Struthio camelus: one gene and its partner. The main gene of each other region encodes a partner of the protein of the gene in region 2 in a complex. Links are inferred from orthologs where the notes say so. Each region holds a gene or a part of one and is shown on either strand. Other genes may lie near its edges. The genes, in order: KCNE3 and KCNQ1.

What was found.
Region 1: the proteins of KCNQ1 (region 2) and KCNE3 are in contact, whole or in part, in a cryo-EM structure (PDB 6V01), measured with the Homo sapiens proteins. The link is inferred for Struthio camelus from reciprocal best matches to the Homo sapiens genes KCNQ1 and KCNE3. Residues at the interface, in NP_000209.2 of Homo sapiens: Arg116, Pro117, Thr118, Gly119, Trp120, Cys122, Phe123, His126, Phe127, Phe130, Leu134, Leu137, Ile138, Val141, Leu142, Ile145, Gln147, Tyr148, Arg181, Met238, Val241, Asp242, Gln244, Thr247, Lys362, Asn365, Ile368; in NP_005463.1 of Homo sapiens: Asp54, Asp55, Asn56, Ser57, Tyr58, Ile61, Met65, Phe68, Ala69, Val72, Gly73, Leu75, Ile76, Leu77, Tyr79, Thr80, Arg81, Ser82, Arg83, Val85, Lys87, Asp90.

Annotation. Positions count from the first base shown.
Region 1 is NC_090942.1:223,401,149-223,408,732, reverse strand, and holds KCNE3 (potassium voltage-gated channel subfamily E member 3), read right to left. Parts: upstream 2,773-7,584; 5' UTR 2,738-2,772; coding exon 2,682-2,737; exon of another isoform or gene 2,560-2,681; intron 2,177-2,559; coding exon 1,861-2,176; 3' UTR 561-1,860; downstream 1-560. Other genes in the region: LIPT2 (octanoyl-[acyl-carrier-protein]:protein N-octanoyltransferase LIPT2, mitochondrial), read right to left, coding at 4,511-4,743, 7,014-7,452. UniProt on the Homo sapiens protein: Ancillary protein that functions as a regulatory subunit of the voltage-gated potassium (Kv) channel complex composed of pore-forming and potassium-conducting alpha subunits and of regulatory beta subunits.
Region 2 is NC_090946.1:18,681,360-18,688,624, reverse strand, and holds the start of KCNQ1 (potassium voltage-gated channel subfamily KQT member 1), read right to left. Parts: upstream 3,224-7,265; 5' UTR 3,167-3,223; coding exon 2,763-3,166; intron 1-2,762. UniProt on the Homo sapiens protein: Pore-forming subunit of the voltage-gated potassium (Kv) channel involved in the regulation of cardiomyocyte excitability and important in normal development and functions of myocardium, inner ear, stomach and colon.

The DNA of each region.
Region 1 (7,584 bases), on a different chromosome or scaffold from region 2:
ACCCCCGTTCTCCCCCCGTTCCCGCACCCCCTTTCCTGCACCCCTGTTCCCCTGTTCCCATTCCCACACCCCCGTTCCCACACTCCTGTTCCTGCATCCCCGTTCCCACACCCCCCCGTTCCCACCCCCTGCTCCCGCACCCCCATTCCCCTGTTCCCCCCCGTTCCCACCCCCCCATTCCTGCACCCCCCCTCCCGCACCCCCATTCCTGCTTCCCTGTTCCCGCATCCCTGTTTCCGCACCCCCCCGTTCCTGCACCCCCGTTCCCACTCCAGTGCCCCCATCCCCCTTCCTGCACCTCGATTCCCCCCGTTCCTGCACCCCCATTCCCACCCCCCCATTCCCGCACCCCCGTTCCCCCCTGTTCCCGCACCCGTGTTCCCACACCCCCATTCCCCCCGTTTCCACCCCATTCCCGCATCCCCATTCCCGTTCCCCCCCGTTCCCACATCCCCCTTCCAACCCCCCCGTCCCCACACCCCCGTTCCCCCCGTCCCCCCCCCATTCCCACTCCCCCCGCTCCCCCACGCCCCCCAGTTCGCAGCCGCGCTGGAGCCGAGCGGGGGGTTTCGCCGCAGGCGCCGGGAGCCCCGGCAGCTGCCGCCGGGGGACACTGGCACCTCGTCACCCCCCCGGGCCCGGCCCGTTTGGGGAAAAACAGCGGGTTTGGCCATTTTTTTTTGTTTTAAGGCGTGCTCCGCTCCAACAGCACCGCGACCCCCCGATGTCGGGGGGGGATCCCCCAGCTCCCGGCCCTGGGGACCCCCGCGCCGACGCCACGGCTCGTCCGGCTGGAGGAGACGGACGCCTGGGGGATGAACCCCCCCCCCGACCCCGAGCCGAGGGAGCGCGAAACCTCTCCGAGGAGGCGACGGGCACCCAACCTCCTCCGCTTTATTTGCCACTAAAGCTGCCGGAGGGGTTTGTTTGCTTTTCCCAACCGCAAGGCAAACAGGGCGAAGCCTCTCGAATGCCGGGTCAGGAGCGAGGTGGCGGAGCGCCGAGAAACCCCGCCGGCCGGGCTCGGCGACGGCGGCACCTCGGCCGGGCCGCGGGCAGCCCCCGGCCTTTCCCGCCGCCCCGTTTGACGGTCCCGGCCGCTCGGCCAAACGCGTCCAGTTTAATAGCGGAGACGAAGCCGAGGAGGCCGGCAGAGCCCGAGAACGTCCCCTTCCCGGTGGCCGCGCTCGCGGCCGCGAGAAAGAAAAAAAAAAAAAACCCACCTCGGAGACCCGCGGTACAAAAGGGCAAAGCTACAGCCGGCAGCGCAGGAAGGAAGCAGGAAAGACTCCAACATCGCTGTCCCGAGCCCGCCAGGCCTGGGTGAGGGGGGGGACGCGGAGCAGGACGCCTCCGGCCAGGCTTGGGCGATGCTCGGGGCGGGAGCCGGTTCCCGCGCCCGGCGTTGGGGACGTCCCGCTCCGAAAGGCGTTCCCGGGCTCCCCGGCCCAACGTCGTCGGCCCCGTCCCGTCCCCAAACGCCCAGCGCCGCCGACCCCGCGCCTCGCTCGGGGAAGAAGCAGAGCCGACCCGCTCCGGATACCGCCACCTCCTTTAATACCCAGCGGGAAAAGCGGGGTCCAGCCCGGCTCTACAACCACGGCCGTCGGCGCTGAGCTCCCGGCGGCCCGCGCCGTCCCACTGAGCGCAGCAACGATGCTTTTTCCTGTTTTAAAGCCCCCGGCCAGGATCATCGCCGCGCGGACGGTGACCCTGGCCGCTTTCCCACGCCGCTTTCGGCGGGGGGGGGGGCCGAGCTCGACGGCGGCGCGCGGGAAAGCGAGCGTGGAGCCGTCCGCCCGGGCTCAGCGCCGGCCCGAAACCCTGCGGAGCCCCTCGCCGGGGGCGCGCAGCCCGGACTCAGATCATGGACACCCGGTTCTTGATGTAGACGTGGTAGGGATCGCTCCGCTTGTCCACCTTGCGCGACCTGGTGTAGCCTAGGATGAGGCTCCCCACCGTGGCGGCGAAGAGCGTCATGACGAAGAGGATGTACATGTAAGCGTTGTCGTTGCGGCCGGCCTGGCCGGGGCGGCCGCTGGCGTTGAGCGCCGCCGGCCGGTCCGGTCCGCAACGCGCCGCTCCGTGCAGCGTCCGGTTCAGGGTCCTGAGCACGGCGTGCAGGCTCTGGTGCCACGCGGCCGTCCCGTTGCCTTCCTCCATGTCCCGGCCGAGCCTGCGGGGAAGGCGAAGCGGCGTCAGCCGGCCGCGGTACCCCCGCGGCACGGTGCTGAGCGGCCTGAGTTGGATGTCGCGCCCTTCGTTTCCCGGCCCGAACCGAGCTGAACCGGCTTCAAGCGCCGCCGGCTAGCAATAAGCATCGCTCGCGGAGGTTTTTTGTTTTCCCCGGGCGCAAACCCTCGCGGGGTCCCGCACCCCGCCAAGCCCCCCGGGGCACCCCGCCGGGTCTCGCTGCTGTCACCCGCGTCGCCTCGTGCTCGCCCGCCCGCCGGGGACGCGCAGCGGGGAGGGGGCCGCCTCGCTCCCCGCGCCGGCCCATCGCCCCCCGCTCCCGCCTGGCGCGCCCCTCGAAAGCCGGGGGGGGGGGGGACACCAGACCTCGGCGAGGAAGAGGATGGTGCACCCCGGCTGCTTCCTCCGCCGCCTTGGGCCCTGCAGAGTGGATTTTGGGGAGGAGGGAGGGGGGGGTCGGCGGGGCCCCGGGGGGGGGGGTCACTCACCCGCCGCCCTGCCCTGCCCTGCTCGCTGCGGCCGGGCCGAGCCGCCACTGCAGCATCGCGCCCGGGCGCCCGCGGCTGCCGCCGCCGACCGGCCCCCGGCGGGGCAGGGCCGCCGCTGCCTCCTCCCCTTCCCGGCGCCCGCCCCCTCCCAATCCCAGCCCCCCGGGGGGGGGGGTCCTGCTGCTGCCCCGGGGGTCCTGCACCCACCTCGAGGGTCCTGCTGCCGTCCCGGGGGATCCTGCACCCACCTCGGGGGTCCTGCTGCTGCCCCGGGGGTCCTGCTGCCGTCCCGGGGGTCCTGCACCCACCTCGAGGGTCCTGCTGCCGTCCCGGGGGTCCTGCACCCGCTCCGGGGGTCCTGCTGCTGCCCCGGGGGATCCTGCTGCCGTCCCGGGGGATCCTGCACCCACCTCGGGGGTCCTGCTGCCGTCCTGGGGGTCCTGCTGCTGCCCCGGGGGTCCTGCTGCCGTCCCGGGGGTCCTGCACCCACCTCGAGGGTCCTGCTGCCGTCCCGGGGGTCCTGCTGCTGCCCCGGGGGTCCTGCTGCCGTCCCGGGGGATCCTGCACCCACCTCGGGGGTCCTGCTGCCGTCCCGGGGGTCCTGCTGCCGTCCCGGGGGTCCTGCACCCACCTCGGGGGTCCTGCTGCCGTCCCGGGGGTCCTGCACCCGCTCCGGGGGTCCTGCTGCTGCCCCGGGGGATCCTGCACCCACCTCGGGGGTCCTGCTGCCATCCCGGGGGTCCTGCTGCTGCCCCGGGGGTCCTGCTGCCGCCCCGGGGGGTCCTGCTGCTGCCCCGGGGGTCCTGCACCCACCTCGGGGGCCCTGCTGCTGCCCCGGGGGTCCTGCTGCCGTCCCGGGGGATCCTGCACCCACCTCGGGGGTCCTGCTGCCGTCCCAGGGGTCCTGCACCCACCTCGGGGGTCCTGCTGCCGTCCCAGGGGTCCTGCTGCTGCCTCGGGGGCTCCTGCACCCATCCCGGGGGTCCTGCACCCACCCCGGGGGTCCTGCTGCCCCCTTGGGGGTCCTGTACCCGCCCCGGGGGTCCTGCTGCTGCCCCGGGGGTCCTGCTGCTGTCCTGGGGGGTCCTGCACCCACCTCGGGGATCCTGTTCCTGCCTCGGGGGTCTGGCACCAACCCGGGGGTCCCACTGCTGCCCCAGGGGTCCTGCTGCCCCCCCCAGGGGGTCCACCCACCCCCGGGGGGGTCCAGCTGCCACCCCGGGGGTCCTGCTGCTGCTCCGGGGGGTCCTGCCCCCACCCCGGGGATCCCACCCAGGTGGGTCCCACTCCCACCCTGGTGATCCCGCTGCCTCCCTGCACCGTCCGGCTCCCACCCCGGGGGTCCCACTGCCTCCCCACAGGGTCCCCGGCGGCCGCCGCTCGAGGCAAAGGGGGCTTTGGGGAGCCGCCGTCCCGGCCGCCTCCCGGCGCGCCTTGGAGGGCGCGAGCCAACACGGCAGCGAGCGGCGCCCGGCGCCTCTCCGGCTCTAAAACCCGCTGAGGCGGGCGGCGAAGGACGCCGAACGAAGAGGGACGGGGCGGAAAGCGGCGCCCCTCCGGCACGTCTCCGCTGCCGCGCCGGGCAGGGGCGCGCAAGAAGCGCGCGAGGGCTCGTCGGAGCGTTTCGGCAGCCGACGCGACCGAGACGCCCGACGTCCCAAAGCGCCGCCGCGGCTACCGGCTCCCTCGCCGGCCGGACAGAGCAGGGAATCGCGCGGCCGCGCACCGGCGCCGTTAACAAAACCAGACCACGGGCCAGCGGATGTCACGTAAATATTTAACGAACGTCTCCGGCGGGCACCAAGTCTCCGCCGCGTGCCGGCCCGCCGCTAGCACGCCGCCTCCTCCGCGAAGACCAAGGTGCAGTCGAAAACCTCCTGGAAGGCGTCGAGGAAGGGCTCGAGGACGTCGGCGACGGCCACGGGCCGGCCCAGCTCGCGGCTCAGCGACGTGACGCCCTTGCCCTCCAGGCCGCAGGGCACGATGTGCTCGAACCACGTCAGGTCCGTGCAGCAGTTGAGCGCCAGCCCGTGCGACGTGATGTAGTTGCCGCAGTGGACGCCTGCGCGGCGGCCGACAGCGCCCGCCCGTCAGCCCGGCGTCGGGCCAAGAGGAGCCGCCAGGGTGGGGGCAGCACCCAGGGGACCCCAGGGTGCAGGACTCATGCTAAGGGTGCAGGGCCTGGGGCCGAGGGTGCAATGGGGCCCCGGGGTGCAGGGTCGGGGGCCGAGGGTGCAAGGGGGCCCCGGGTGCAAGGGGGCACTGGGGTGCAGGGTCGGGGGCCGAGCGTGCAGGGGGGCCCGGGGTGCAGGGTCGGGGGCCGAGGGTGCAAGGGGGCCCCGGGTGCAAAGGGGCCCCGGGGTGCAGGGCCTGGGGCCAAGGGTGCAAGGGGGCCCCGGGTGCAAGGGGGCCCTGGGGTGCAGGGGGGCCCCGGGTGCAAGGGGGCCCTGGGGTGCAGGGTCGGGGGCCGAGGGTGCAAGGGGGCCCTGGGGTGCAGGGTCAGGGGCCGAGGGTGCAAAGGGGGCCCCAGGGGGCAGAGGCAGGGGCCGAGGGTGCAAGGGGGCCCTGGGGTGCAGGGTCAGGGGCCGAGGGTGCAAGGGGGCCCTGGGGTGCAGGGTCGGGGGCCGAGGGTGCAAGGGGGCCCCGGGTGCAAGGGGGCACTGGGGTGCAGGGTCGGGGGCCAAGGGTGCAGGGGGGCCCGGGTGCAAAGGGGCCCCGGGGTGCAGGGCCTGGGGCCAAGGGTGCAAGGGGGCCCCGGGTGCAAGGGGGCCCTGGGCCGAGGGTGCAAGGGGGCCCCGGGGTGCAGGGCCTGGGGCCGAGAGTGCAAGGACAGCCTGGGGTGCAGGGTCGGGGGCCGAGGGTGCAAAGGGGGTCCCGGGGTGCAGGGTCGGGGGCCGAGGGTGCAGGGGGTCCCGGGGTGCAGGATGCAACCCCCCCCATGCATGCCCTCCCTGAGAATGCTCCCCTGACCCGGTGCAATTCCCACGCCCCCATGCACACTCCCCCCGCCGCTGCAACCCCCCCCGTGCACGCTGCCCCCCACCCCTGCTGCAACCCCCCCTCCCCACTGCAATCCCCCCTCCCCCTGCACGCTGCCCCCCGGTGCAACCCCCCCCTCCCCGCTGCAACCCCCCTCCCTGTACACGCTCCCCCCCCGCTGCAACCCCCCCTTCCCCTGCCCCCCGCACCTGCTGCAACCCCCCTCCCCGCTGTAATCCCCCGTCCCCGTGCACGCTGCCCCCCCGCTGCAACCCCCCCCGTGCACGCTCCCCCCGCTGCAACCCCCCCCGTGCTGCAACCCCCCCGTGCACGCTCCCCCCGCCCCTGCTGCTGCAACCCCCCCATACACGCTCCCCCACCGCTGCAACCCCCCCCTCCCCGCGCACGCTGCCCCGCACTGCAACCCCCCCATACACGCTTCCCCCCCGCTGCAACCCCCCCCTCCCCGCGCACGCTGCCCCGCACTGCAACCCCCCCATACACGCTTCCCCCCCGCTGCAACCCCCCTCCCCGTGCACGCTGCCCCCCCGCTGCAACCCCCCCTCCCCGTGCACGCTCCCCCCCTGCTGCAACCCCCCGTTCCCATGCACGCTTCCCCCCCGCTGCCACCCCCCGTCCCCGTGAACGCTGCCCCCCCTGCTGCAACCCCCCCGTGCACGCTCCCCCCCGCTGCAACCCCCCCCATACACACTCCCCCCCTGCTGCAACCCCCCCGTGCACGCTCCCCCCCGCTGCAACCCCCCCCATACACACTCCCCCCCTGCTGCAACCCCCCGTTCCCATGCACGCTCCCCCCCCGCTGCAACCCCCCCGTGCACGCTCCCCCCCCGCTGCAACCCCCCGTCCCCGTGCACGCTCCCCCCCCGCTGCAACCCCCCCGTGCACGCTCCCCCCCTGCTGCAACTCCCCGTCCCCGTGCACGCTCCCCCCCCGCTGCAACCCCCCCATACACGCTCCCCCCCTGCTGCAACCCCCCCTCCCCGTGCACGCTCCCCCCCTGCTGCAACCCCCCGTTCCCATGCACGCTGCCCCCCCACTGCAACCCCCCTCCCCGTGCACGCTGCCCCCCCACTGCAACCCCCCCTCCCCGTGCACGCTCCCCCCCCGCTGCAACCCCCCGTTCCCATGCACGCTCCCCCCCCGCTGCAACCCCCCCGTCCCCGTGCACGCTGCCCCCCCTGCTGCAACCCCCCCGTGCACGCTCCCCCCCGCTGCAACCCCCCCCATACACACTCCCCCCCTGCTGCAACCCCCCGTCCCCGTCCCCGTGCACGCTCCCCCCCCGCTGCAACCCCCCCGTGCACGCTCCCCCCCCCCGCCGCCGGCGCTCACCGATGGCGCAGAGCTTGCTGTCGCCGAGCCAGACGCCGGTGCAGGGCGGCGGGAGGGCGCGGGCGGCCGGCAGGCCGAGGCGGCGGCAGAGCGCCAGCGCCGCCGCCTCCAGCGCCGCCACGTAGCCCCGCAGCGGCAGGCGGCGGCGGCGCAGGTCGAGCACGGGGAAAGCGAGCAGCTGGCCGGGCCCGTGGAAGGTGAGGAGCCCGCCGCGCCGCGCCGCCGCCAGCTCCGCGCCCCGCGCCCGCAGCCGCGCCGCCTCGGCCGCCGCCGGCGCCCCGCGCAGCCCCCACGCGTACACGGGCGCCGCCGGCTCGCTCAGCACCAGCCCCTCGCCGGCCGCCGCCCGCGCCGCCGCCACGCACCGCTCCTGCGCCCGCAGCGCCTCGCCGTAAGGTCGCCGGCCCAGGCGCAGCACCCGCACGGCCCACGGCGACATGCTGCTGCTGCTGCTGCCGGCAGCGCCGGGAGCGGGGCACGGGGCGGGGGGGGGGGGGGAAAGGCGGGCGCCGGGGCCGGGGCTCGAACCCGGGTCCTCCGGGCCGGGGCAGCGCCGGGAGCGGGGGACGGG
Region 2 (7,265 bases):
AGAACCAAGACCTGTCAGGCAGCAGAAGTCCCCCAGAATAAAGCAAGCAGTAACCAGTAGAGGGAGTCACAGAGAGGACACAGGCAAATAAAGTCGGTCTTCTGGCCTCATTCTGGCAAATGAGACAACCATCACGATCTTGGATGTGAGAAGGCAAAACCTAGCTTAGCTCTCCATGAACGCTGGTTTGTATGCTAAAAACAAAGCAGTCAAGTTACTTCTTCTAGGGGGAGAAAAGCGCAAACATGATGGCGGAGGACTTATAAAAAGAAAATTAGACAGTACCCAACACAGGTAACTGACTTCTTTTTAGCTCTTCAGCTCACCATTAGTAACCAAATGCTTGCAAAAAGCCAGAAAACCGCATGCAAAAAATCAGGTCTCATGCCTCCTCCAAAGTACAGGCTGAAATAAAACAGCAGCTTCTCTGGATCAGAACAACTGTCTGTCTTTTCCATTACTTTTCTTGCTGAACTTCTGGGTTTTGAAGGAATAGCTTCACTTTTTTCCTCCATCTTAGTAGCAAACATTAGGCTACCAACGCTCAACATGTGACTGGCAGAGGCAGTAGTCAAAGAGAGGATCTCCTGGTCAAGTGGAAAACAAGCATCCCAGGAGCTTGCTGTGGGAGCTCAGAAAGCAAGAAAGAGTTGGAGGGGTATATACCAAAGATCAATAACCAAAAAGATTACCAGCAAGGGCACAAAGTGGGAGCCCGTCTACCACAGAAACAGGGAGAGGTTAGGATGGCTGTGGAAGTTACAAACTCAACTCCCTCTGCTGGCAGAAATCAGAACGGGGCTGCCTAAAAATACAGATGGCACTTACCGATTGCCCTGTAAGAAATGTATAGGGGTGGTAGTACCTCCTTCTGTCCTCTGACAAGGAATTTGCACAATGCATAATAACAGCCTTGAGAACATTCAGTACCTCTGTCATTCACCACTGCATCAAAAGAGCTGCTCTGGAAAGCTGGCAAGCACTGGGGCTAATGCTTCACCTCAGATAAGCGTGCATTGGGGGAAAAGAGGCAGTAACTGCTTGTACATGTTACAATCTCTTTCCTAGAGCAGAATTACCGAATCTTAATTCTCACTGTTAACTACCTGGAAAAAAAAAAAAAAAAGATTTTAAGTCAAAATTCAGGTCAGATTCTGTTAGATAGATGGATCCAACTGGGCGATGTCAATGAAAGCTCTTACCCCAAGACACACCTCGCCACAGTTTCTGCTGTCAGTACTTTTTCCTACGCCCACTGTTAAGATTTAGAGAAAATTAGCTAAGATATGCAAGACTATTTACTGTCCCTTCTACAAAAAACTTGAGGCACCTGAAAGAGGTCAGATATCATGCAGGATAGCTGCCTCAAAGTTTTTTTTTTTTCCCTCCTTTTTAGAAAATAAAGAACTCCAATTCCTAAGAGTGTTTTATATTATTCACCCACAACTATTATACACTTTTTAAAATTACGGCCATTAGCTGTTTTGTCATCTAATGGCATTGTCATAATGTTAAATACAGTGGAACCCACAATTATCTTAGCAGCTCCACACTTAAACACATTCTGATGATAGCTGTTTTTCCCTGACTAAAACAAATTTGGTACCACTTACCTGTCTACCTAAAGGCTCCAGGATCCTCACACGTGGAAAATAGGCCCACAACCCTCAATCTACTTAACATACTAATTACTTAGAATTAAAATCGGAACACAATGACTAGAGCATTAGAATCGAATTTTAACCAAGTCTTTTGTCGTAGGTCTTGGCCCATAAAACACCTTAGCCTCCAGCTGCTGTATTAAATATACACGTATGTGTGTGTATATGTATGCCTGTGTGTGTGCATATGCATACAATAAATAGATTTATGCAGGTACTGCACTTCCTCATCTTATTCTCTACGCTTAGTACTTACAAAGTGCTCAAGGGTCCCGCAAATCTTCCACAACATCTAGATTAAGACGCATTAATTCTTCACGGACGCACTCTTTAAGATCCTCCGGAAGAGCAGAACAGACGTACCCTGTGTTGGTTCAGGACGGACACAGTGCTCCATACTGAATATCGCGTAACATCCTCCAAACGTCACCCCCCCCGCTTTTTTTTTTTTTTTTGGGGGGGGGGGGGGCAAAAATAACAGCGATGGCCTTCCTTCCCCGTAGGAAAGTCGAACAAGGAGCATCAAAAAAGGCAAGGAAAAAAAAAAGCGCGGAGTGCCACAACGCTACACCTACCTCTTGCCTCCCTCCGAGAGGGCTGACACGCTAACGACACACCTGCCCCGCGGAGCAGGGGAGCGACGCAACGCGCCGAAAAGCCGGGAACCGGTGCACTGCATTTACCGGAGGACAAGCCGCCAAGCGACTACCTGCTTCGACTGCGCACCTGCAACGGACCAACTTCGGCCAGCTCCGAGGACGATCTTCTAGGACAAGCGATTTCAGCCAGCCTGGGCTCTTCTCTTGTACGCCCAACCCGCCACGCTGCGCCCCCGGAACACAGCCTCCCCGTCTCAAGCAAAAGGGGCTTTTCTCGGGTCCGCTCGCCCGCTGACCGCGAAGGGTTCCCCCCGCCCCGGGCGAAACACCTGCAGGGCGCAGCCCGCCCAGCAGAGCTCGGCGTTAGCTCGGGAAACGGCGACCAGGGGAAAGGCGGGAAACCCGGCTGCCCCCTCACGCCGGCCGCCGCCGCGCTGACAGGGCGAGCGGCCGTTAACGGCCGTTAGCGGCCGCCCGGGCGCGCGGCGGCCGCGGTACTCACACGGTGAAGTGGTAGACGAAGCACTTCCAGCCCGTGGGGCGCTCCAAGAAGTTGTAGACGCGGCCCTGGATGTTGCTGCGGCTCAGCAGGGGCTTGCGGAGGCTGTAGATGGAGACGCGCGGGTCGAGGCTGACGGGCGGCCGCGGGCCGTCGGCGTTCACCGCCGCCGCCGCCGCCTCGCTCCTCAGGCGCCGCGGCCGCTCCCGCTGGGGCTCGGCGCTGCAGCCCGGCGGCTGCTGCTGCTGCTGCCCGCCCTGGATGGGGGCATAGCGGGCGTGAGGGACGCTCTCAGCCAGCTCCAGCCCCGAGGGCTTCTTGCCGAGCGTCATGCTGCCCTTCCTGGGCAGCGACAGCCGGCCCAGGCTGCGCGCCTTCTGCTCGGCCGGCGGGGAGCTGGACGACATGGCAGCGGCACTACCGGTACCGGCTCGGCTCGGCTCGCCTCGCTGCCCTGCCGAGCGGCGGACCGGCACCCAGCGCCCTCCCGCCGCCGCTGGCCCGGCCCCCTGCGGGGCGGCTCCCGGCCGGGAAAGGTGAGGGGCAGCGGCGCGGGGCGGCCCCGGCTGTGAGGGAGCCGCTGCCCTTGGGCGGGCGCAGGTCGCCGAGTGACTCGGTGAGCTGTAAAACAATTATACATACGTTATATAAATATATATATAGTTCTTCCTCGCTGCTGCAGAGGTTGGGTCTGACACAAGGCCAGGTGGAAGGGGGCGTGCGCTCGGCCGGCCGCTCGCCGCCTCCTCAGGCCGTTTGGAGGGCTCGGGCCAACGTCCTGTTTTTTTAAGTTAGGGCTCAGGTAGCTGTGGCGTGAATCAGTTTGTCACGGTAGTAAGAACCTTTGCTGCAACAGTTAGTTAACAAGTTTCTCTTCCCAGAGCTTAAGGGAAGGGGTCGCCTTTGATGTGGAGAGCTTTTTTTTTCATTTATTTATCCCCCCCCCCCCCCCACACGCCTCTCTCTTCTAGCCCAAAATAGAACAGGACTCTTAGGAGCGAGGTGGAGTTGTTCAGGGGTGCAAGAATGCTGCGGGAAGATAAGGTGCTAAATAAAGCTGAACCCAAGCAAGGCTGCCCGCTGCAGCTGCAGGCAGAGGCTAGGCTGTGAGGGAGGCCCCGGGCGCCGCACAGGCCCCTGCGCTAGCGGGCCTGAGCCCGAGCGGGGCTGTCGGCTCCGACACAGGGTTGATTCACACCTGTGAAGAAGGTGGCCACTTGTTGGGAAAGCAAAAGGGGTAAAAAGAGAATTCGCAACACTTGTTTTTAAGTCATAAGGATTTAACCCCCCCACCCACCCCATCAGAGCAAGATGGAGGAGCTAGCTTAATGAAACAGCCTGGTGGAGACTCTGGGAACACCTCAGCAAGAGATAAACCTCCACCTTCAGGAGGGAGCTTGACTCCTGGCCGTGGGATGCTGGGAGCTGCAGCGAGCGTAGCCCAGCGCTTGCCCCTGAGCCAGAACCCTTCGGTTTCTTGTCTGCGTTTTAGTTGGTTTTTAGCGTCGGGCCTCCAGTCTCAGAGAAGAGAGCGTTTAGGCTTTCACTCAAGGACCACCAGTCAAAAGACCTTGTTAGTGGTTCAGAAACAGCTTCTCCCTCTTGGTAAAGACACGCTGCCTATCCTATCTGCAGAGGAAACCTACCTCCTGCAGTAGTCGCAGTGACTCCGCTCACCTCAGATTACAATCTGTTTGGCAACCAAAAGGGGCATCGCCGTGAATCTTTGAGTGGGGTGGCTAGCCGCTTGAATAGAGGAGAGCCACAAACTAATGACTCCTTCTGGCAATAAACCTGCAAGAAAAATGACCAAAGGAAGAAAGCCTTTGCTAGCCTTGAAGGCTTGTCATTTGAGGACTAGCCTGATTAAGTCTCGATATCAAAGTTAACAAATGTGTTTCCTTATGTAAGTGTTTTATTTTAAAGACTCACCTCTTGTCTGTACAGAACTTATCCTGGAGCCAGGTGCAAAACTTAAAAGAGTTTAGCAAAATAATAAGAGGCTATGTTTAAGTAGATTGTGGTGTTCCTCAAAAATGTTTTCAAAATTTTTTATAAAAATTGTGGCATTACGGGTTTTTTTATACTTTGCTTAACAAAACAGAGAATAGAAATCCCAAAACACCTGAAATGAAAAAAATGGAATTTTTGCATGACGTATACAATTTACTTCCATAAGAAAAGTTAGAGTAAGTACTGTGTACTTAAATAGCTAAGCAGGAAAGTAAATTGTTAAGCGCTGCATTTGGTCCTCAGTGGTCAATGAGAAACTGTTCCAAATAACCCAAGTTTGTTTCAATAATTTTCTTACTGCAAAACAAGAAAAGTCTAAAATATTTTCCATGGCCCAATATTTTGAATTGTTTTCATATCAGAAAAACTTTTATAATGTTTTGAGTTGGACTTCTAATTTTAATTACATTTTTCAAAGAATCATAACAAATAAATGAATTTTCAGTTTGAAAATATTTAAAATGAGCATTCAGGCAGTATCTACACCTCTTTTCACTAGAATCAAGGATTTCATCAAAATCCACTATTTTTTAATATATTACTGATGGATAGTGAAGTTGATTTTATTTGGTAAGAATCATTTTTTTCTGAACATTCCCAACTAGTTCATGTCAGTGAATAATAACATGCCTATCTGGCATAGGTAAAAGCCAATTGCATACTTAAATAAAAACATCAAAGGGATGAAGAATTAGTGCTGAGAATACAAGAATATTTGTCTTCATTATATATTAAATACCAAAACTATATGATAACTTGCAGCATTTTCAAGATTAATTCTTTAACATGCTAATGTTAATTCCTGTTTTTCCCATTAAGAACAGTCTTGATATTAACCCACATCTTGATATTAAAATATATACATTTTACAAAACAGTAATTATTTAAATGGAAGAAGAGAAAAAAATCCAATGAGTATGGTGTATACATAGAAGAGTTAAGAATGGAAAGAGGAGGTGGATGAGCATTAAAAAAATGTTTACTGAGCCAGATATCAGTGCTTTGATAGTGAAGAGACTAGGCAAATACAGGAGGATTAATAAGGAGGATACAGGGTATTAAATATTAAGGTGGAACTATACACTGAGTTGTTTCTTAGAAAAAAATCATGATTTAGTCTATTGTAAGTGTTTAAGAAACTGTAGCAAGAGGAATAATGGTGTGATATTTATTACTTCATTCTTTGCAAGTACGGTGTTTAATTTTTACATTTTTACGATGCTGCTGCTTCTAGAAATGAGACCTGGTGTGTAGTCAGCCACTGAAGTCTGATGGTGCTACCCGTGAAGCTGATGGTAACGCTCCCAACAGCAGTCATTACATGGGATAGGACTAGTAAAGCATTTCTGAGAATCCCACCATTGGGCTAGAGTAGATCCGAAGTGTTTGTTCCACCTCAGGTCTGTATTTCTTTATCCCATCTCCAGTTATGTCCTTTATTATCTATGCTTTGTTACATATGTTCATTATATGTTGTCTTTTTGTTTTGTTCAGTCATTTTTATAAGTACTGTGTAAGATAAAATGGCAAAGTCATAACTTTTATCACTGCTGAATGTTTGTAAGTGGTGCAGCAAGTTATAAAGAGACACTTTGATCTTTTATGTTATTACTTCCCTATGGAATCAAAGACTTAAACTGAAAGAATCTGAGCATTATCTATATATGCTAAAAGCCATTAACACTTATGTTGCAATTATTGGTTGCACTGAATTCTTGGCTGATATGGAAATCATGTGTTTTGTCTATTGCTTGCTGTAAGATTACTTTGGGGGGGGTGGTTTGTTTTTTTATACTACTTCCTGTTTCTGCCTAGCTAGAGAATGGGTGATGATAGAGGTAAAGAACATTTTTCAAGGAGAGGCAGAAGTTCTTTTTGTTTTTTAATTTTCAGATCATTTTGCTTGAATTAGAGCAAATATTTTGTTGAATTCCATTTCCTGAAGAGTCCACAGTTTAACCAGTTAACAGATCATTTTAAAAACTCAGCCAATGGTGTAGATAAAGTGACTCAATACTGAACCGAGAATTAAGTCCTAGATTGTTTAAATACTTTCATATGGCAGTTATGGTATAATAACTTTTGAAATATTCTCTATTTTAATGAAGAAGTTCTGCTCACAGAGTCATGTCATTACTTTAAAAATTCCTATTGACAACTGCAAAACAAGTAAGTATCTAAGTCTCAGACACAGAGAAAAGCTTGAAAACATGACAATAACAACTTGAACAAATAAACCTCAGTCTTATGAATCAGAGCAGAGGTAAGGAGACAGGAAAGGGAGAGAAGTGTTTACTTCATTTCTGAAATCCTGGGAAGACTATGGCTTAGCCTTTTCAATAGGGAGATGGGAGAGAAATATTATAGAAAAGTTTTGATTCATTCATCAAGTTGTAACTAAGAACAGTTACCTGAGTACCTATATGGATTTTTCATTGGATACCTTAGTAATCTTATTTACCTTTCTTTTAAATTGATCATGATCTGTTAATA